Linked DNA regions of Astyanax mexicanus. The protein of the gene in region 2 interacts with the protein of the main gene of each other region in a pairwise test. Links are inferred from orthologs where the notes say so. Each region holds a gene or a part of one and is shown on either strand. Other genes may lie near its edges. The genes, in order: psmf1 and pak5.

The links.
Region 1: the proteins of pak5 (region 2) and psmf1 interact in binary tests that used the Homo sapiens proteins (3 or more experiments, as listed by UniProt). The two-hybrid records come from large-scale screens. The link is inferred for Astyanax mexicanus from reciprocal best matches to the Homo sapiens genes PAK5 and PSMF1.

The regions. Positions count from the first base shown.
Region 1 is NC_064412.1:57,500,731-57,512,394, forward strand, and holds the start of psmf1 (proteasome inhibitor PI31 subunit), read right to left. Parts: upstream 5,329-11,664; 5' UTR 5,222-5,328; coding exon 5,093-5,221; intron 4,164-5,092; coding exon 4,011-4,163; intron 3,923-4,010; coding exon 3,840-3,922; intron 3,102-3,839; coding exon 2,922-3,101; intron 646-2,921; coding exon 592-645; intron 291-591; coding exon 132-290; intron 1-131. UniProt on the Homo sapiens protein: Plays an important role in control of proteasome function. Inhibits the hydrolysis of protein and peptide substrates by the 20S proteasome. Also inhibits the activation of the proteasome by the proteasome regulatory proteins PA700 and PA28.
Region 2 is NC_064408.1:73,055,705-73,067,331, forward strand, and holds the start of pak5 (serine/threonine-protein kinase PAK 5), read right to left. Parts: upstream 4,927-11,627; 5' UTR 4,913-4,926; coding exon 4,807-4,912; intron 1-4,806.

The DNA.
Region 1 (11,664 bases), on a different chromosome or scaffold from region 2:
AAAACTTTTCTGCAGGTAAATAGTTCTCCTTTTTAACAGGTAAATCCTGATTATACACAAATTAAATATTAAACGGTAATGTGGTGAAATGATTTGCTGGGAATGGCTGGGAATATCGGTACAGTTGTTACCCGGGTCTGTGTCTCCCGACGGGTCCGAACGGGTCGAAGCGGGCACCGGGGGGCACGGCGCCGGGTGGGAGGACTCCGGGTATTCCTCCTGTCGGATCAAATCCAGAACGAGGGAATCCGGCTCTTAACGGATCCACGATCATCCCTCCTGCTCTCCCACTGAAACAACACATTAAATACAGATACTTTTACAGAGCTTTTTTTCTATGTTTGGTGTCAGTTAAAAAACTTACCAAATCTATTTCACCAGGAATTTCCTTATTTACAAAACAAATCTCTCCATTTTATCTAAATTTGTATCTAAATCCACCAGTGTAGGATGATTTTAAACACAGGTCTGTCTGTAAGAGGATCATCCAAAAGTCAAAAAGATAAATGTGAAACAGCAGGACTTCAGAATCAATACAGTAATTCTGTGTGTAATCTACACGGCAGAGCAGAGTTTTGGGAGAGGTCTCACCCGAATGGATCGAGGTCTGCTCCTCCTGCAGCGAACGGAGCCATCGGGTCTGTCCTGAAAAACACAGAAAGAGGATACACAGGTTTCTAAAGTGCTGCTATACTTCAGTTTCTCTGATTTTGCTATTTATAGGTTTATGTTTGAGTAAAATGAACATTGTTGTTTTATTCTATAAACTACAGACAACATTTCTCCCAATTTCCAAATAAAAATATTGTAATTTAGAGCATTTATTTACAGAAAATGAGAAATGACTGAAATAACAAAAAAGATGCAGAACTTTCAGACCTCAAATAATGCAAATAAAACAAGTTCATATTCATAAAGTTTTAAGAGTTCAGAAATAATCAATATTTGGTGGAATAACCCTGGTTTTTAATCACAGTTTTTTTTCATGCATCTTGGCATCATGTTCTCCTCCACCAGTCTTACACACTGCTTTTGGATAACTTTATGCTGCTTTACTCCTGGTGTAAAAAGTCAAGCAGTTCAGTTTGGTGGTTTGATGGTTTGTGATCATCCATCTTCCTCTTGATTATATTCCAGAGGTTTTTAATTTGGTAAAATCAAAGAAACTCTTCACATTAAGTGGACTTATTTTTTTGCAGAGCTGTATATTGCAGGGTTGGGCCAGCAGCAGCAGCAGTGTTGATAAGCCTCTGACATCATAAAGAACCTGATAGGGTTTGGGTCAGTGCGGCAAAGTGAAGCTGAAGATGAGCAACACACTCCTCTCTGGCCTCCTGCCACGTCCTTAAGGACGACACTCCTCCTCCTCCTCCTCCGCCCCTCTCTCCCTCTCTCTCTCTCTTTCTTTCTTTCTCCCCTCTCTTGGTAAAAATAACATTTTGTGCCTCTTACTGCCTTGCAGCTCTTCAAATGCTGAATGTCAAATCTTTCCTTTGTATGAGTCATTTATTCCTCCACTCTTAAATTTCTCATTTATCTTTATTCTGACCTTCTTTCACATCTAATAATTCAATTAAACTATTTTATCTATCCATCTACACTGGTGCTTGAAAGTTTGTGAACCCTAAAAGTGTATAAAAGGAATCCAGTTAAGCAAATGAGACAAAAATATGATACGTGCTTATTTATTTAATGAGGAAAATGATCCAATATTACATATTTGTGAGAAAGGACTGCAGAGTAACTTCTAAGCAACTGAAGGCCTCTCTCATGTTAAAGTTCATGAGTCCACCGTAAGGAGAACACTGAACAACAATGGTGCACGTGGCAGGGTTGCCTATCATACACCCTGTATAAGGTGCGTCGTGATGCTCTTCGCTATCTTACACCCCGTCAACAGTTTATTTTCACATCTTGTGCCTGCGCCGTTAATGATGGGCGTGGTGGTCTGGAAATTAGGTGTGTTCAGTTACATTTCTGGAGTATTTCTTTTGCTCTCTCACAATACCAAAGACACAACGACAAGCCCTGAATCCATAAATTTTTTTATAAATGCTCTAATTCATTAACACACCCACAGTCACAGTGGAATGTGTTGTAATTGGTCAAATATCTCATTTAATCACATTTATTTCTATTAAAGCCTGGGTCTGGAACAACAATGCGTTTATAAGCTTTTACACTCAGAGATAGAGCTGATAGCAGAATGTGGTGATGGGAGCTCTCCACAGGAACCACAGTGCGCTGTAACTGGAGAACCATCAAGGTCAGGAGCTTTTAGCCAATAATGAGAATCAAAGCTTCTGCTCTCTCTATAGAGATTTATTCAAATAGAACTCGGTCACTGAGTTTATTGTGATTTCTGTTTTAGTAAAGATGTTGGGATTTACTGGACTATTACTACTGTCATCAATAGCTTAATATTGAACTAATATTACCTAGTTGAAGCAAAACGAGTAAATGAGTTGCTTAACTGAATTTAAAATATTATGACTTAATTAATAATATATCGTATTTTTCGGAATATAAGGCGTACCGGATTATAAACCACATTATTTTTAAAGTGAAACGAGTGCTGGATGTTAATCTACACAGATTTCTCTCCTGAAAACTGTTTATTTAGGTGAGTAAATATCCAGTATCCAGATTTCCTCTAAGGCTAGCCATGGTTGTATAACTCTGTACTTCAGTGGAGTGTCTTTACTGCTCCTTAATACCTGACTGATAGAATTCATACATAAGGAGCACCGGATTATAAGGAGCTCTGATGAGTTTTGGGATAATTAAAGGATTTTAAGTGCACATTATAGTGCAAAAAATACAGTAATGTTATAAATTCAAGATCATTTTGATCAAATTCCACAGCGATAATGAGAACATGCAAAAAAAAGTGTAAAAAATGATGCACACTCTTTACTCACCAGTTTGGGGGGCGAGCGGTGGGGGGAACTCTGGAGGGGATGCGGAGAGGGTCGTGGTCGGGATTGGGTCGGGTGTCTGCAGCTGGAGGTCTTTCTCTCTTCTCTTTCTTCTCTGTTTTTGCTGCAGGCAGCAGTGAGGACTTCAGCTTCTTCACCAGATCTTCTGTGTTCTTAAACACACTAAAGAAGGATAGAAATTCTGGGTTAAAAAAGTTCTGGTGTTTCTGTTTTTCCGCTAGTGTCTCTCTGCCTCTATAAACAATTTAAATACTCCAAACATAAAAAAAAAAACCAATCCATCCGCTTCCTGTTAATCAGCTGAAAGAATTAAGTGTACGAAACGTTTTCTTCTATCAGCCGTTTAGCTCCTCCCTTATTGTGATGTCACAATAAGAAAACCTGCATAGAACCACCCTGGCTCCACCCCTCACTTGTCAACCCCCACTAGAGCCCCGCCCACTAGATTTTCTAGTTGAAGAAACGTTTCAAATTCGTTCTGCTGGTTGAGAACCTCAGACAGTACACAGCAGGATTATCCAGCAGACTTCTTTTGAGGGAGGGATCTGTAACTAATGACTGTGGCAGGTCAGCAGATAAGGGAGATGTAAGAACTTTCAAATAATTCGTTTTTTGGATGGTTTAGAATTTTAGACTAATTACAGTAATTTGAGGTAGCTTATGATCACCATTTAAATGACTCTTTGCTGGTGATTCTGTATCTACTGTAACTGTAGATTAACCCTCCTTCATAAACACTAATAAAAGCGATCTGAGAGTAATCTGCTACGCACATTATGCTGTATGAATTGTATGCATGTTTTAGGGTAAATTTAATTACAGAGTAATGACAACATATCAAAAGCACATAAACAGTAAAACTTTATAAATTAGTGTGGAATAAATGCATTTAAAACCAACCTGTCAAACGTCTGCAGACTGTTCTCATCTACATAATCAGAAACAGTGATGGTCAGGTCTGTTACTCTGTCTGTAGCGGAGTCCTGGTAGATATATAAAGAGGTTAGAGGTCACAAAACTTCAGAAAAGCAGGTTAAATATTCAGGAATTCTCATGTTCTTTAGATTTTACCATGAAGTTGAAGATCAGGGTGGAATCCACAGTGATGGCCTTCAGGAGCAGGTTAGATTTATCATCGCTGGATCTGTAGCGCAGGGTGTACAGCTCTTTGCTGGCGTTCCAGGCTGCAGGAAGCAACTCGGATTTCTTCTCTCCATCTCGAGGCTACAGGATGGAAAGAGAGAGGAACTGTAAGCTGTGTAATACTTACATATAATTACACATTAATGTATATATATATATATATATATATATATATATATAGTATTGCAATGTGACCATCAGCTTAGACAATGTGAAACCAGCTACCAGCAAAAGCTGGAATTCTTTCAGCAGAGAAAAACAACAAACATACAAATTATATATATATATATATATATTTTTTTTTTTTTAAGGAAGAAGACACCAATGAAGAAGCTGATATAATTATGTTATCACTAGTTCTGCACCATAAATGATTAATTATTAACAGTACAATAAAAAAGCAAATCATTCACTTACACTTTTAAAAAATTAGCTAGTTTAGTTTAATCTCCAGCACTAAGCTTATAATAAATAAATAATACGGTGAGATAAACACACACAGATTCACACGCTGTTCTGTGGAATAATGATGTTAAAATGACTAAGAAAGTGCTATAAGGAGTTTTACACATCTTTTAAAATACTAAGAAATATTGTGATTATGTATATATATATTTTTTGCAATTGTCAATTTATGCTTTCTTAACTTATTTTATATTATCTTATCAATTATTTTGTGCTGTGTAAATGTATAATGTGTGAATTAGGTTTGTGGTGTAGCTTTGTATTGTATATGTTGTGTGAATGGTGTTGAATGTTATGTTTGGTTAAAAAAGGAACAATAAAAGAATATTATTATGACAAAAAAACGTTAGTGTGCTGTGTCACTGAGCTACACTTAATTAACGTTACACTTAATAAACAATAAATTAATCAGCTGGAGTTATGTATTATAACGTTATATAAGAAAGAGTGAGTAGCCGCAGGGTTAAGAGACAGTGTTAATCATATTTCACTGTATTTATATTGAGTTTTATTGAGTTTTATTGAGTTTATTAGAGAAAACTCACCTGATCTCCAGTCCCTAAACACTTAAACCCGCTTTTAATAATCTCCCAGTGAACAAAACACACCGCCGCGTCCTGAGCGCAGCTAACAGAGCCCAAAACCCCGCTGTACAGAACCTCCAGCCCCGCCATGACCCAGCAAAAACCTGCAGAACCTCCAGAACCGAAACCAAAACAGCCCTGATCTGTTTACATCTGCTGCATCACACCGCCTCCCCGCTTAACCGGTCCGGAGTGAACACGCAGCCGCCAGACTTCAGTTCCGGTGTTGTGCCGAATTATGCTACCCGTCGATACGTGCTTCCTAAAGACACTACGTTACATGCGGTAACCTACATTTTATTATTACTTCTCCTGTGTTTTATAATAATTATGTTTTCCCGTGTTTTTTTTCTGTGCATTTAACAACCTGACGACACTGTCATTACACCGTCAAAGTATAATGACTATTAATAATAATAACAACAATAATTAAAAATAAAAATAATTTCTCTAAAAATACAAAAGCAGATTATAATAAAATAGTACATAAACTTCTACTGGGAAAGTGCTTTAATACTGTGCTTCTTTTATATGTTTACCTTTAAATATACACAAAAGGGTAGCACGGTTTGATAGGGTAGCACAACTCGACAGAACACCGGTGCTGTGCCAAATTCAAGCACCCTCCACCAGGAAAAACACCCTCACTAGGGATAAGCTGCGGGTGACATGATTATTTTTATTTCTTAATATTTATCTTATAACAGGTTATAACAGTATATTGGGTATTTCCATTCTTTAAGTAAAACTAAGTTAAAACCAAGTAGACAGTTATGTGCGCGCTCCCGAAAGGGGGATGCTTTTTCGGGCGGGGGTGCTGAATTCGGCACAACACCGGGTCTTCATATCACTGTAGGCCGCTAGAGCCCGCGGGAGAGTCCTTAGTGAATGGGGTGAATGGAACTAAAAAAACTAAATAAATAAAATAAAAACAATTAAACAAAGAATTTAAAATAGCAAATAGCTAATTGTTCATTATATTCCTTTAATATTAAAAGCATAATATAGTATTTCATAAAAATATGTGTATTTATATTTTTCTGCAACAAACATTTTTCGACTTTTTGACACCTTTTTTTACTATTTTTTTTATATAAAAATAAAATGAATACAATAAAATAATAAAATATTATATATAATATAATATACAGTAAAATATATATATATATATATATATATATATATATATATATATATATATATATATTTTAAAAGAACAAGAGACACTTCCATTATGATGATGATTTTTGACATCTTTTTATTTATTTATTTACTTATTGGCTGAGGCTCTTGGAATATTCAGCCAGGATGTTCAAAGGGATGTTCTAAAACTCTTATGAATGGTTTATGCAGGTATCATTTAGCCTTATTGCCTTATTAATACTGGCCTATAATAAAGTCTTAATGAATATCTGTCGGTGTGTAAAGACTAAGCATGAGTCAGAATAGTCGTTTATATGATTTAAATCTATACCTAATGTTAACGTTAATGAAAATATATAAACACACAATGATTAATATGATTTATAGGCCGCTTCACTCAGCTTACTCTTTAATGTTCAGTCTTTTAGTTTCTGCAGATCAGTGTTTGGATCACAGTGATATCAGACAGACCTCTAATAACTAAACCAGCCCCTGTTTACAGTAACATGGATTTTCCACAGATAGACAGAGATGAGCTCTTCTCTCTCCTCCTCCTCTCACGGTTTAACCCTCCTGAAATAAATCATTAAAGAATGTGGTCTCCAGTTTCATCATGGAGCTTCGCCTGACTTTCTCCAACCAGCAGGAATGATAACACAGCCATCTGCTTTAACTTCAGCTCCATTGGAAACACATTGTTCAGAAGTTAATTTCAGAAGCTTGCTCTGCTATTCGACCCAGGCCTTGTTATAGAAATGTTAATTTACAGTGTTTATAAAGACCTTTGTGAACTTTTGCCAAACCCTGAGAACTTTAGATCCAAACTATTCAGACTATTCCTCCTTATTGAGCTTCTATTCCAGCTTTATTACTGACTGTAGAGCCTGGACTGATTTTAGTACCATTTATCAAGAGTGAATCACATCTACATCCTCCATCCTCCACTGAAAACCCAAAAATCAGTGTTCTAATCAGAAAATTAGAATATTATATAAGACCAATTGGTACTTTGGGAGCAGTGTGGGCAGTGTGCCAAGTCCTGCTGGAAAATGAAATCCACATCTTTATAAAAGTTGTTTTCAGCAGAGGGAAGCTGTAAGATATGAAGTGCTGTAAGATTTTGTTGGAAAACAAAACTGCACTGACTTTAGACTTGATAATAAAACACAGTGGATCAACAGCAGCAGATGACAGACATGACTCTCCAAAAAAACCATCACTGATTGGTGGAAACTTCACACTAGACCTTGAGCAGTTTGGACTGTGTGTCTCTCCACTCTTCCTCCAGACTCTGATCCCTTTATTTAAACATGAAATGTTTAATGAAGTGTTTTAGCAAGAAAACCAGACAATGGCTCAGTTAATACAGACCAAAACCCTTTTTAGTGAAAGCAAATTTGTGTTAATTGTTTTTGTAGCATCTTTTACTCCTGATATTTTCTGTGAAACTGAAGAGTTCGGACCAAACAGAGCTGGTGTAAAAGTGAAATCAGACTTTATTAATCTTTATTAATCTTTAACTAAGATCTTAAATCTGAATCTGATTCAGTCTATGTTATATTTCTGTCTGTAAGTAAGTTGCAGAACTCTGTGCTTTATAACAGTAAGAATGGGGCCACCATGTCTGAGGGTCTCCAGCCGGGTCCCTAACGAAACCCAGACCTGATGCATCATTATAATACAAAACGAGCTGCAGGTTCTCACGTTAACGCCAGACCGGCCCCACGCCACCGCGTGACCCCGAGCGTGCAGTAACGAGCGGCTGAGCCGCGTCTACAGGAGGAGGAATCTCTCTAATAGTGAGGATTGTGATTCACGCCTAATGACCTGACCTCACCATCAGAGCATCCACTTCACACAGGACACGACTGAATACATCAAACATTAAATACAATGTGAATGAATGTGTGTTATTATGTGAACATGGACCTTTTTATCTACATGAACAAAATATTTGTCCTTTCAAAGGAACTTAAAATATATGTAATACAGTGCTATAAAAAAGTTTGGGCACCCCTGATAATTTTCATGATTGCCCTTTATAAATATATATATATATATTTAGATCAGCAATTTCAGTTTAATATGTATGTCATATAAGCAGGTGAACATAGTGATATTTTAGAAGGGAAATTAAGTTCATAGGATTTACAGAAAGTGTGCAATAATTCTGACTTAATTAAACTAAATGAGCCAGACTCTCATTGGAAGCTATAAGAAGAGTTTAGAGGCTGTTATTTCTGCAAACAGGTGTTCTTCTGCTATTTGATATATTTAACTATATTTAATTTAAATTGCTAATCCCAACAACTGAATATTTATAAGGGAAAATCATAAAAAATGATCAGGGGTCCCCAAACCTTTTTCATACCACTGTACAACATCATGATATGGAGTTTTTTATTGTGTCAGAATTGTTGGCATATATCTAAAATAAACATTTGATTCATATCTGATGTGATTTTGTTTTATTTTCACCTTCTGGTTACCTTCTTGCAGCTCCGCCAGACTGAGATTAAAACATCTGAGGATCTTCTAAGAAAAGCATGATCAATAATCAATAATAAAATCAACGCCAGATAAATTATCTTAATAACTTAATAGCTGAGGGTGCAACTCTCAACTATAACAAGTGTTCTCCTGCATTAAACACAAACACACACACTTACACACACACACACACACACACACACACACACTCTCACACACTCCCAGTCCAGGTGCAGCACATGGTCCTGATTTGGGAGTGACCCCCGGGTGTGTATATCTCAGCTAATCATTGTCTTAAGCTCATAAACTTCTTCTGCACCGTAGAGGAAAGCCTTTAAACTAGCTCTTCTCTCCGTCTCCACTGAGAGACGCCAAGCCTGGAAATACAGAGCGTTAACTCTCTAATCCCTAAAGATTATAAAATTATATTTCCCAGCTCATTAATTAAGCAGCACTACACATAAATCTACTGCAGGATCTTTACGGCACTATTTAAAAGCTGTGCAGAACTTTAAATTAACCCATATACATATACATATGAACTGGTACAAAGACTTTGGGCCCTATTTTAGTGATCTATAGGTAAACTGTGCACCGTGCAGCTTGATTTAGGGTGCGTCAGTGTGTCTTTGCTATCATAACGACAGGAAAAGTACACCTTGCTCTGCTCTAAATGCAAAGCAAAAGTCATGTACTAATTCGGTTAATTATTCATAAGTGTGGTTTAATAATAATTTTGAGTGTAACGTGAAATAAACCAATCAGAGTGTCTCTTGCTCATCAATCTCTTTAAGAGAGTCAGGTGAGTTCTGACTTTGGTGGATTGCTATTGTAACGGTGCAGCTACCTGGACGTGTCCAACAAACTCTTCTCAGCAGAGGAAACTGAGCTGCTGGTTGACGCTGTGAAGGTTCGTATAAGAAGTGACAACATTTAAATATAGCCTGGCGCAGAGTGTTCCTGCCCTATGATGGTTCGAATCCTGGTCATGCAGCTCACCATCAGCTGCCAGAGCCCCGAAAGAGCACAATTGGCCTTGATCTCTCTGAGATTGGCCTAGTTAAATTGAGAGAAAAGTGAACATCTTCAGTATCACAGAAATTAATTTTTTTGGTTATTTATTATCTGATCTATTAATGTCAAGAAAAACAAATGCCTCAATCACCTTTAATTCACCCTCATCTTCAGGCCCTTTAATATTATTTACACCCACTAGAATGCACATCACTCTGAATAAGATCTGCTAAATTCCATAAATAAATGTTCATACAACCTCCAAAAACCCACATATGTGAATAATCCATATGACATGTGGTTTGAATGTGATGCACATCATCTTTAAGAATGCACATCTTTTTTACACACAGAAAAAGAGAAGTACATACAGTACACACAACGACCCGTACTCGTCCTCCTGCTGTGAACACCAGGAGTCTCCACCTCTCATCTCATACCATTCAGTTCTGTACATTCTTCACACTCCTCCTTCTTTCATGTCTGCCCTCAGGAATCCTTTAAACACGGTGCCGATCAAATCAGCGCTTCTCTTTTACAGCTCAGCTGATTAACGGCTTTCTGCTCGGCTGAGGGTCCAATCGGTAGCTGCCCTCAGCGCCCTGAGAGAAGAACAACCTCCAAACCTCCAAACGTGACCAAAGAGAAGAACTTTCACCTCTATTATCAGATACTAAGAGAGATATAACTCAAACATGATGAGACAGTGAGGATTCCTCGCTCTGCAGGACGTCAGCTTCACCTCCCAGACTCTGAATCAGGGCGTTAGTGTTTTGTTCTTCGGCAGAAACGTCCAATTTTTCAGTAAGAGGAACATCTGCTCTCCACCTGAGAAGAACATGTCCATGGATGGACCAGTAGAGGAGGAATACACTGGACAATTCCATAATATAAAAGCTCATATTTATAATTATAATGCAGAGTAAACTCCCTGTTACAGTTAAGATTACTGTCAGGTACAGAGTAGTAAGGAGACGTAGAGAGCAGATGCAATTGCCAGTATTTACCGTATTAAACAAGAATTAAAATTTAAGCAACAAATAAACACGGAAAACATAGAAACTACAAAAACCCGTAACCTGATTGAAGATAATACGCACAAGCACCGACAAGAAACAGTCGAAACAAAGGGACTATTTATACACACGGAAGAGGACAGCAAAACAGGAAACACCCGGGAACAGGTAACAAGGGGGTGGAGCTACAAATGAACACATGAAGATGAGAGCACAGAAGACAGCGGCGGGAAAACACAGAGACAGACATGAGAGACATAAAACAGGACGAGACCATGACAATTACAGCATAATAATACAGCATTTATTTATTTAGTATAGAAATAATAGTAGAGATTAAACTGTAGTAATAAAATAAAGCAAGACAGATTCATTGAGTGAGGGTTTGGTGTAAAACTGTTGATTTTTTATTTAGTATTGTTTTTAAAATCATCTGGCAAAAATATTTTTAAAAACATGATTTTTTTTTCAATTTGATGGATTGTGTTTTTTATACAGTTCATAAGTAAATACCAAATAAATGTTGAGGGAAAACTGAAAATTGTCATAAAATGAACCATAACTTATATCTTCACACTGTACAAATGAGTAAATGAGACAGATATGAGAAAATATAAGATTTAATGCTGAAAGATTTTCTAAGCTGTTGAAGAAACTGATAAAAGAAAATCTGTCAACAGTGGCAAAGTGAAAACTGACCATCCAAAATATGAACCAGTTTATTTATGTTACATTTCTGCCTCAAATTTATTCCACCAGATTCCCAGAAACGACGAATATCCGTCTGCAGTAAACAGAATACCTGCTTCTCACACATGCATTCACTCCAGAACACAGAGAACACAAACATCTACACTCCATAAATACAAA
Region 2 (11,627 bases):
CAGGACTGCAAGTGTTGAATAGAAGGAGTCTAACTGTGCATCCACCATACTTTTTAATCAGTTTCTAAATAAAAAATAACGTTTTCTGTTTTTTTTGTGTGTTACATCAGTACCTTTATCCTAGGGCTGTGTGATGCAGTAAAGAACTAAAATCTTGATATTCTTCAAATATATAAGCGATTCTCAAATACAATTTAGATTTTGTTGTGTTCTTATAGCTATTGTTTCCTTCACATTTAATGTATACATTTTATTAGCTTAGTACATCATTACCCTTGTTTAGACCAAATATAGACGTAGCAAATTGGGCTGTGTTTAGTCCGTCTGTTTCGGATCACATTTAGCCTTAATAAAAACCATGTATATTAGACTCATGCAATTTTTTATATTAATATATGTAAAGCTGACTTCAATTAGAGGCTGTTCACACATCACGTGTATTTTTTCTGTAAGAACCGCTTATTAGAAAGAGATTTCCGCAGTTTACCTTGGGCTCTCTCTCTGTCTCTCTCTCTCATACACACATACACACACACACACAAACTCACTCTCTCTCTCTCTCTCTCTAAGTTGCAGGTGTCTAGGTGTGAAGGAGAATGAGAAGGGCATTAAATTAAATTAAACAATTAAACTATTTGTAACATCATTTAATTTGGGTCAAAATCAGGTTGGTCATGCTTGGCTTCAAAACAGACATCAGATAAACATTTATCTTAGTCTTTCCTTAGAGCAGCATTTTAGAGTCGAATTTTATGTAGCCCAAAAATAGTCTTTAAACTTGCAGCTTTCATATTTTAAGGTGCCAAAATAACCTTCCTGTATTTCATTTTATGAAAAGTGTAAAATATGAAAATCATTGCCACATACAGTAGTACTTTAATAGTACTATAATAATAATAGTAAGCTTCTGCAATGTCACAAGATTTATTTTAATCTAGTGATGCATTAATTTTTCACCAAGATCTTGCAGCATTGATGATGGTAGAGTCTGAACAACCGCTGCACAAAGTCTTCTCCAGTACATCCCAAAGATTCTCAATGAGGTTAAGGTCTGGACTCTGTGGTGAACAATCCATGTGTGAAAATGATGATCTCATGCTCCCTGAATCACTCTTTCACAATTCCAGCCCCATAAATCCTCACATTGTGATCTTGGAATATGCCCGTATCATCAGGGAAGAAAAAATCTATTGATGGAATAACCTGGTCTATATTCAGTATATTCAGGTTGTCAGCTGACCTCATTCTTTCAGCACATACTGTTGCTGAACCCAGACCTGACCAACTGCAGCATCAACCCCACATCATTTACTTAGTGGCGACTCGGCCAGGCAGTTTACATTTGGCAATTTTACATTCTATGACATGAGATCAACAAGGACAAGCAATTTCTCATGCTGAATCACTTTTGCTACTTCAATTTAGTCCAACACCAAGCTTAATCCATGTCCAAGCGTTTATATCGGCTGCTGAAATCGACCCCATGGGCATATCTGAGAAGCACCCAAGATTCAACCTGTGTGTTAAACAGCGGCGGCGTGTTTTGCATGAATGGAGTGCTCTGTCTCCCAGCAACACCTGAGAGAGCTGCCAGTGTGGACGGCTCTCAGTAAGCGAGAAAGTGAAAAATAACACAGCAGCTCATAGAGCTGATTAATGGACTCTTTCGCATTCAATTTGCTCACTCTAGCTCCAGGGGAGTCGTTGGGTATGATTTAGTGGTTTTAAACAGTAGAGAGCGGGGTGCTGAGGAGAGAGGGGGTTTCTGAAGAGGCCAGACGTACAGTCTTCGCAGAGGAGGAGAAGAGACGGGTCAAGCAGGGGATTTCCTGGCTGGAAGTTTCAAAAAAGTAGATAAAAACGTATATTTTGCTTATACTGCTACATATTCAGGACTTAGATATGCCTGGTCATGCACATAAACACACTGGTAACCTCTTTATGTTACTTCACTAAACAAATCAATCTGGATTATTCTGAGCAACATAATTATTTCTGTTAGATCATGTGAGAAATTTGGTTCATCAAAATACCTACAATAACAAATCAGGAAATTCCAATATTGGTCAGCATGCTCACAATAAACAACACACTTAAAACATGTGATGTATTAAAGGCCTCATTTGCATACTGCATACTTGCAGTCTGCAGCAACATCTCCGCTGCAAAGGACAACACTGCAATAACAATGAAACTATACACTGTTTAGCCCAAGTACTACACAATTTCTCTCATGTGTTCAGTCAAGGCAGTTAACCCTTAAAGTAGGTTGATTTTTTTTATGATGATAACAAACCAGGCTCTGGAAACACAGTTGATGACGCTAAAGTTGGAAGCTCTAATCTGAATATGCCACATGCATACATTTGCACTGGAACAGAGTACAAGCACTCAGGGCTTCTCCACTATTAAAAAGGTTTAGCTGGACTGTTGCCATCAGGCTTCATAAACATCATATACATATCATCTCAGATCATGAGTGCACAGGGAAAGCCTTAACAAAGCCTTAACAATTTAGAAATCAATTATTAAATAGTACAAAAAAATATCAGCCAGTGATGAAAAGTGTGGGGTAATTTAATATGAATTATTTCCCACGTGTAGTTATTTAAAACAATTAAAGAAATCTTACAGAAATCACAGTAGTTCTGTCATTCAAAAAAAATATATATATATTTGCTCGAATGCTTATATTAAAATTTTGTCAGGCTGAATCACTATATGCATTTTTTTTAACTTCCATGCAGAATATGGAAACAATTCTACACTAAACATCTTATATACAGCAGACACTGAATACTGATAAAAAATTAAAACCAATATTAGCATATATCTAGATGACTGGCTCAGAGCGCATCTCCAAAACAGCAGGTCTTGTGTTCCAGATATGTAGTGTTTACTACAAAACATCTGGTAAACCACGTCACACTGCACACAGGAATGTAGCATAAATTGTTACCAAATATTGGTTCTAGCAGAAGTATGTGTTTCACAGTTAGTGGGTGTTCCCATGCTGACCCCTGTCCTCTGGAAACTCCAACACTGAGCACATGAGTTGCACATGAGTTCTGCTGGAAAACCCTGAGTTTGTAACATCCATGTGGATGTCAAAGCCCTTCATGGCAAACTGGCTCTTTCAGCCAGTAAAAAAATAGTTAAAAATGGTTCAGGAATAGTTTAAGGGACATTACAAAGAGATCAATTTGTTGACTTGTTGACTGCAAATTCCCCCAGATGGACTGGAAAAACAAGGCTGATCAATTGAGCCCCCAAGTAGATATTACAGAATTATATTAATTATCTGTCCGTGCACAAGTACAACCCAACAGTGGTTTTGATGGTATGGACAAAAATGGCAGAATACAGGCAAACTGCAGACTGTTTTTGTTATTATTTGAGATGCTTTTAACTGCGGTAGCTGTAAATCATGTCTGTTAATAGTGTTTAAAGGACAGCAGAATAGGTCTCTGTTACCACAAAACTAAAGAACTGGATAAGGTTTTAAAAAGAAATACACGATCCATTAAAGGCACACTATACAATATTTTTTTAGTTAATCAATTCATTTTATACTGTTTTAGATAATTAAATTAGTCATTACAGAGTGAACAAAAGTTGAGTAGCCCTCAGTTCAGTCTTGCTTTACATTAGAAACACGGGTACAAGATCTAGTCGTGTTTGCTAACCATAAAACTCACAGAATGAATAAGTCTGCCTAGACTAGCATTTACTGATGACCCTAGATTTAGATTAGATTTTTTATACTTGTATTTTACTTTCAACCCTTTTGCCAGTCTGTTGTGCTCAAAACAATCACGCATGGCTAGTCCACAGTGAACTTTTAGTCTATAGGGGGAATCTCTATACATCAACCAAATGATGTATAGTGTGCCTTTAAAAAATGTGGATTGAATTATTACGGCTGAAATTGTTACTGCACATCTAAAAGAAGCACAATTATTTTTTTTAAACCTTGCATAGTGTAAATGAACATACAAAATTGTGTCACTATTCAAATGCTTACAGACCTGGCTGGTAATTGTTCTCATACCTTACACATGTATCATCGACCCAAAATAACAGCTGATTGTGCACAGCACTGCTTTCCCAGCCCCTCTATCAGCGCCCTTATCTGTATTCTGCTGACTTGTCAATCACCTCACCTCATCTCCTACGCAATGCGGGCATGCCAAAAGCCCTTTCTTCCTTTGGCCTCATGCCCACACTAAGTGTTGCCAATGTGGCCTATTGCTGTTTATTTATCTGTCCATTTAAAGGGCCCTCTCCAAACATTGGCCAAAGCCAATAAAATCCAGAAAAAGCCAAAGAACAAAGTCTGGGTGAAACAACATAAACACAGTATACCAGAATAAGTACACACTTTTCACCCAGAGACCTGAAAGTGTCTTTAATCCAAGGTTACAGAGTAGATTATCAGCTAAGACTATCCCCCTCCCACTATGCGATTTACTTAATGGGCAGCTAAAGGAGTGAATGGGAGCTGAAAGAGTGTCATCTGGCCGGCTGGGTTTATTAGGACCAACGCCCTTTAGTCCTAATTTGTTGTTGGAGAGTTGAGCCTGCTCTAAATCATGTTTAATAACAGTGGGCAGCAGACTTTTTGCTATGTGATCATTTGCAGAGAGCAAACTGGTGATCACGTTAGCTACACTAGCCTAATAGCCCCAAATCAAAACTAAAGAATCGCACACTTGACTGAACGACTGCTTTAGGCAAATATTTCAGTATTCCACTGAGAAGACATTGACATATTTTGTACATGGCAAAATCTATGATCATATAGACCTGACTCAGTCTTCATCTTCAGTGCAGAAGCCTGGTCTCTGAAGCCCCAGTCCAAACACTGCGATGAGACGTGCTGTAGGAGCCCTGCTGTCATAATTCCTGACATCACAGCAAAATCCTGACATGACATCTCAATAAAAATCGACTCCGAAACTTGACAGTAAAGCTTGGCTGGACTCTGGACAATGGACGTCCAGACAAGCCCTTAATGTGCCGGGGTTTGCACTGCTTGTGCCACGGCTCCGCAAACGCGCCACGCTTAAGGGATTGGACGGGATTATGAGCAGAGGGATGAGAGTGAAGGGGCTGTCTGCAGTCATACTCCAAATGAAACCTATGACCTAGATGAGTATGGACGTCTTGGGAATGAGATTACACAGACTAGAGAGGGCTTAAGGCATCCTGGGCCAACAGTTAAAGGGGAAAAAAAGGAAATGCAGGGCACTGGGAGCCTTTTTTTCTCTGCTGTCAGTAAAAAGTCAACCACACGCAAACCCATCACTGAATCTAATTGCATACACCACTTACATTTGCAGGCTTTTAGGTAGAAAAGCGATTGAACTGCCATGCATGTTTTTGAATGAAATGTTAATCTAGAGGGTTGTGGAGGATTCCCTCAGTGGATGAGCTCATGGATATGCATAATGTAGGCTTTTCTTTTCTTGGTTGGTTCGTGCACTGGGAAGTCCAAAAGTTCTATTTTATAGACAGAAGAAGGAAATTCACTGAGAGTTAATACTGAAACCTCCTGTTTGTGTTGCAATCCTGCACCATGCACATTTCTGAGGAACAAAACCCTGCCTCTCTGAATGAAACACTGAATTAAGCCAAGGTTAAGACAGCAGGTGCCATAAGAAAGATTTTATTTGCTCGTCTGGTGGTTATTTTATGAGTCTATTCCCAGATCAAGGAGTAATGTCACACTGCAAAATTCATAGTTATATGCACTGACATTCCAAAAGTCATGGAATTGCACTATAAACACTGGCCAGCATGTTCTTTATACAAGCAAGTCCAAGCAAGCTCTACAAAGGTGTCAAAAGTATTGACATTTATTACTCGGGTAGAAGTTTAGATACTACAGTTTAAAATAATTCTGTAGAAGCTTAAGTATCAACTCAAGCTTTTTTCCCAAGCCATTACATGGCGGGCCACAAACAAAATCTGTTTTGGAAAATGAAATGTAATGGGGTGGAGTGCTACAGACTAGTAGTAATAAATAATAGAAGACATTACTGCCCACAGTGGACAGTGCAGTAGAGGCAATGATCGTGACAAGAAGTGTCTGGCTAAAACTGTCCATGTGAACAGTTCTCTGGCACAAATCACATCCACATTCAATGCAGTGGGTCCAACACACGTATCCCACAGATCAGTGCAGCACCCTTTAGCTTCCATAGGACAAGGAAAAAGTCATGGATCATGATGCTACTGACTGTGCCATGACTTTTGGTACATTAGTTTATAGGTCTCTAAGAATTGGACACTTCATACTGGTGATTATTAGTGTTGTCCATATCAACCGATAAAACATGCATCATATCAATGGAAACATTGTATATTCCATAAATCAGTGCTGTCTGGGTTGCCATGACAACAGAAATAACCTATGTAATTTTCTTTTTTTTTTGTAACTTTAATTAATATCAGCTCTAATGTCTCCTTAGGGCTTTGTGAGGAGCAGGCAGGATAGAATGGAGCCAATCAGAGGCTCTGATTCTCTGCTATATAATAAAGTGGAAAATTAATATTTAATTATCAATACAATTCTTAAGAACTTTAAAAAATTAAGAAAAAAATTTTACTGTCTGAGAGCTGAAAGGATTGGAACAAAAATCAATCACTATAAAATGATTATTGCAGGAAAAAAAACAGTTTAACTTAAAACTACAAAGAATGTGTATACAAAGAATGTGTATATACCTGTGAATATCTGTACTTTAAATATCGTCTTCTATTAAGATACTTCCATATTTTTGTAATAACACAAATATTTTCATACCTACCTATCGATATTAGCCAGTACTAGGCCCCAAAGCCAGGCCAGAGATAGAGGAGTTAATGTCCTCGTCCAGCATGTTCAGCAACAGCCATGGGTCTGAGATGTGGCACTGAAAGGGGGAACTAGGCACAGATCCTTAAGTTCTGTTTGTCCCTTGAACCATCTGTCGCCATCTGAGAGACGGCAGGCGTTTCCCGCTCAGAGCAGCACTGTGGCAGTGTGGGACAGAGCGGGTCTGGCCCTTCCCCAACAGCCCTGCTCACAGCACAGGCCCTGTGGCTATTTCAGGCTCCTGTACACATGTGCTGATAACTCTCAGGCCTCCAGGAGCAACTTTATAAGACCATTCCATTCCCTGTACATCCTCTAAAGTACGGGCCTTAGTGCGGCATTCAGCACACATAGCACTCTTAACTGAATAAAGAAATGCACAGACTGTGCAAGGAGAATTTTACTAAGACTGAGTACAGGACTAGTAAAAAAGGTACAATTAGTTTTTCCTGTTTTTTTTATTGTAATTTAGAACCAATTTTTTAAATCTGATTCAGGCCATGTGTTCTCTTCTGTACCACTGATATAACCCTGTGTTACCAAAGTAAATGATCATCAGATCACAATTCACAAGTTTTTTTTTTTTTTCGCACTTCATCGTGTGTGTGTGCTTATCACTGTTATCATCATCCAGTGTTGAAAGAATGCCAACAGTGGCTAGTGATAATGAGTGTGGGCATTTTAGGCCACAGGTCACACTAATGACAAATGTGAGTCACTTACAAACAAAAATAGAGGCAGCAGTATCTAAGCAAACGTCATTTTGACAAATTAGTGAGGGACATGAACAAAAAAAAAAAGATATTAAGATGTGGTTGTAAATGATTAATGTCATATGCAAGCATGGGAAAAATGTAATAACACAATTCCTGCTTGGCCTATAAGTCACAATAATTACATGATCAACTTGTCACACAATATTTGGTCATAACCTATATTTACCCTAGCAATAAATCATTTTATTCATTTTATTCTCACCTCAAAATTATCCATTATTTTTACTACATTTACACTCATTTATGTAAAGTATACAAGTACAAATACGAGTATACTCCAGCATACCAATATACTGACTTTCTTAGTTTTATTTATACAGAACAACTTCTCTCCTGTATAATTTCACAAGTCTGTTCAAACCTTAGAACTATAGTCACCCCCCTCAATAAGGGTTTTGTATTCAACTGGCAACCTACGACCACTTTTCAACGTGTTGCCTCATCGCTTCTACAGTGTGCATGTGCACAGCGACTCGCCCACAATGATCAAACAATTGTTTTGGTTACCTGTGCATAAAAGTATAGTGAGACACGTTTAACACCTGACAAAATATTGTACACTTTCAGTATGTACAATATACTCAATAATTAAAAGGTCGTTGCTCTTTAAAAGTAACTTGTAATTGCATTTTTTACAATTGTACCATTTTCACAATTATTTTTTGGAGAATTATGTGACAGGCTCTCTAGAAGAATTCCTAATAATCCTCTAGTTCACAATATAATAACATTGCTAAATGAACATCAAATGTCAAAGGTCACATGACTGAAATGAACGGACTAGCTGACCTGTGTGTGTTTGTGTGGTCATTCAAAGACACTTGAAAGCTCACCTTACAAAAGAATCAGAGAGGAAGACACTCTATTCCTGAAAGGCAATGCCAGTCTAAACTGAGTCTGACCCAAACAGGTGGTCATCTAAAGCGTGGTCTGACTGCCAAGTTACTAAATGCATGAATGAACACATGCATCATCTGCGTCATCACATCATGAATGACATTTAGTAAACAAACAATTGCAACTGCAAACTACAACTGTTCTCACCTGATTAGCCAACAATAATATTCTATATTTAAGCTAAAACTCTGTAATTCTGGGAAGAATAGCTGTTACAATAAATGATAGAGTAACCTGTCATCGTTGTGGTCTGAAAGCCTCATACACATCTTTTCACTGCTCTTAAGAACCTATTAACACCTTTAGTTTTAGCACTGTACAAGGTTTCTACACAACAACAACTACAATAAGCTCCACCACTGCATACAGTCTTACCTGGTATCAAATTCATTATTCCCTTTTGCCCAAACGACGGCTCCGGAAAGATCGCCACACTCGGCACAACATTAGCTTCCATAAAAGTGTCATCCAGCACATGTATGGAGAGAATGGCATTCCCGGGCCCTTCCTCAGCGGAGGTGCAGTGAGGGCCTCGCCCTGGGCTGCTCACCCATGCGCACTCTGAAAGCGCCCGACGTGAGATTGGGCCAAAAAAAGTGCCGACGGCAGCATCCCACTGCAGACAGGCTAAGCCCAGAGCTCCGGCACTTGGGGCAGTCGCCTCTCTGCCCGGCCCACACCATCATCCTGCTGCAGATGCCCGCTATCCTCACCCTCTGTTCCACTTCCTCTCACGCCCCGGGGCACACTGGCACCTTGTGTGCGTTTACACACGCGTTCGTACACACCGCATCAGGTTTGTGACCAGAGGCTGACACCGACACCAAGCGCGGACCCCAGCTTCCTCTTTACTCTATTTGTTTGTGTGTGAGAGTAAGTGTGTCACACAGAGCTGAAAGAGAGGTTTACAAAGGGGAGGGAGAGAGAGAGACAGAAAGAGAGAGAACAGAGAGAGAGAGACAGAAAGAGAGAAAGGGAGAGAAACAGCTGCTACAGTCACTTAAAACAGATTCTGTGTCTCTAGTCCACACTGTTACTGTCACAATCGTTTGGAGTTTCTTGCCATGCAGTATTATTGTTCATATTTTTATTTGAGTTTAAGTAAAATAAACATTTTTGTTCTATTTTACAAAACTACGGACAGCATTTCTACCAAATTCCAAATAAAAATATTGTCATTTAGAGAATTTATTTGCAGAAAACAAGAAACGGCTGAAATAACAACAAATTTGCAGACCCTTCAGACCTCAAATAATGTAAAGAAAACAAGTTCATATTCATAAAGGTTTAAGAGTTCAGAAATCAATATTTGGTGGAACAACCATGGTTTTTAATCACAGTTTTCATGCATTGATGTCTTGTGATCATCCATCTTCTTTTGATTATATTCCTGGGCTGTATATATATATATATTGCACAATATATGATTGTTTTTTTCTTTTTTACAATTTTGTTTTGTTTTTAATTCATTTTGTTCCCTAAAAGCCCTGGCAGTTAATTGTAAAAAAATATATTTTAAAAGACCAATTCAAATCATTAGTTTTGCTCATTTTATTATGTACAGGTAGATTGACAAGACCTCAAATAACGCAAAGAAAACTGATTTTTATTTACTGCTTCCATGCTCTCCACCAGTCTTACACACTGCTTTTGGATAACTTTATGCCAATCCTGGTGCAAAAATTTAAGCAGTTCAGCTTGGTTTGATGTCTTGTGATCATCCATCTTCCTCTTGATTATATTCCAGAGGTTTTTGACAGGGCTACTATAGATAAATTACATAACTATAAAAATACACGATACAAAAATACTAAACAGATACTAAAACAGGATAGAGCATAAACAATTTCACAAAGATTCAAAGAATACCCTTAACCACAGTAAATAACAGACTGCTTTCAAGACAAGAAGATGCATTGTCACAATGTGGATTTTTTTAGACAATATTACTGGGTCACAATATACTGTGTATGATATGATGTGGCACACTCCTAATATGAACAGATTCATTAATCAGCCTCAGTTTAATTCCTTCTAAAATGTGCTTTTTGTTAACCTAAAGATTCACTCTCACCTTTTATAAAATAAAGACTTAAAACTTCTAAACAGTGACCTGAAACCTGTGCTAACAAACACACACACACACACAGCTCAATATCTATTTTTACTGACACCACTGAACAGAGCCCACCCCCCGAGACCCTAAAAGCTCCTCAGTGAGTGAAGACCCTCAAAAGACCCTCAGATCCTTTAAACTATCAAGTGTTTCTAAAGGGGCCGGTGTGTCTCCCAAGGCCCCAGGAGCTCAGTGTGAAGTCTGCAGTGGTACCACACCCCTCTATCACTTCACAAGCTATTTTTACAGACGCCCACGCAGCCAGCGAAGGCCGCTGTGACTTGCTGAGACTGAGGACTGCGGGGGCATCTGGCCTAGCAGTGCAGATATACGTCCTGTACCTCCACCACAGACACACTCTCTGCATCAACCAGCAACATGAGAACAACCATCTAAAACATCTGAAATGTTTCCCACAGCGACATATTTTGAGATACAGTCCACGCTGCTTGAGTTTCTCTGAATGAGGTTCAGTCGTTAGACATTAGCCCTTGGAAGCTGAGACTTATTTATTTCTCTCTGGAGCAAATAAACATGAACCTATTGGCACCATGCCTAATTCCAGGCATGGACTACAGTGGTATAAAGCCCCCCAGCATTGATCTGTGGAGCAGTAAAAAAATAGAATCTCAGGAATGATGGTGCTCCATCCAGTACTTTTGTGCTGAGTTTGGAAGATGGGGATGAAACACTTTGAACTCACACTCACTAACATTAAAACTGCACAGCAAGAACAGTAGAGACCGTTTCTCTAACAAAAAATTATTTTCTCTGTTAAATATGTGAACAAACATACAGATGAACACAATAGATAATATCACGATTATTAATTATTATATTATATTACATAATAATTATTAAGGTCATGTCCATTTATTGTATAGTAAGTTGATAATTATCATCAGAGGTCTAAAATAGGGGCAGTGAAATATATCCATTTCCCCGCCCTTTTATCACACATGAAAAAATGCATGTTAAG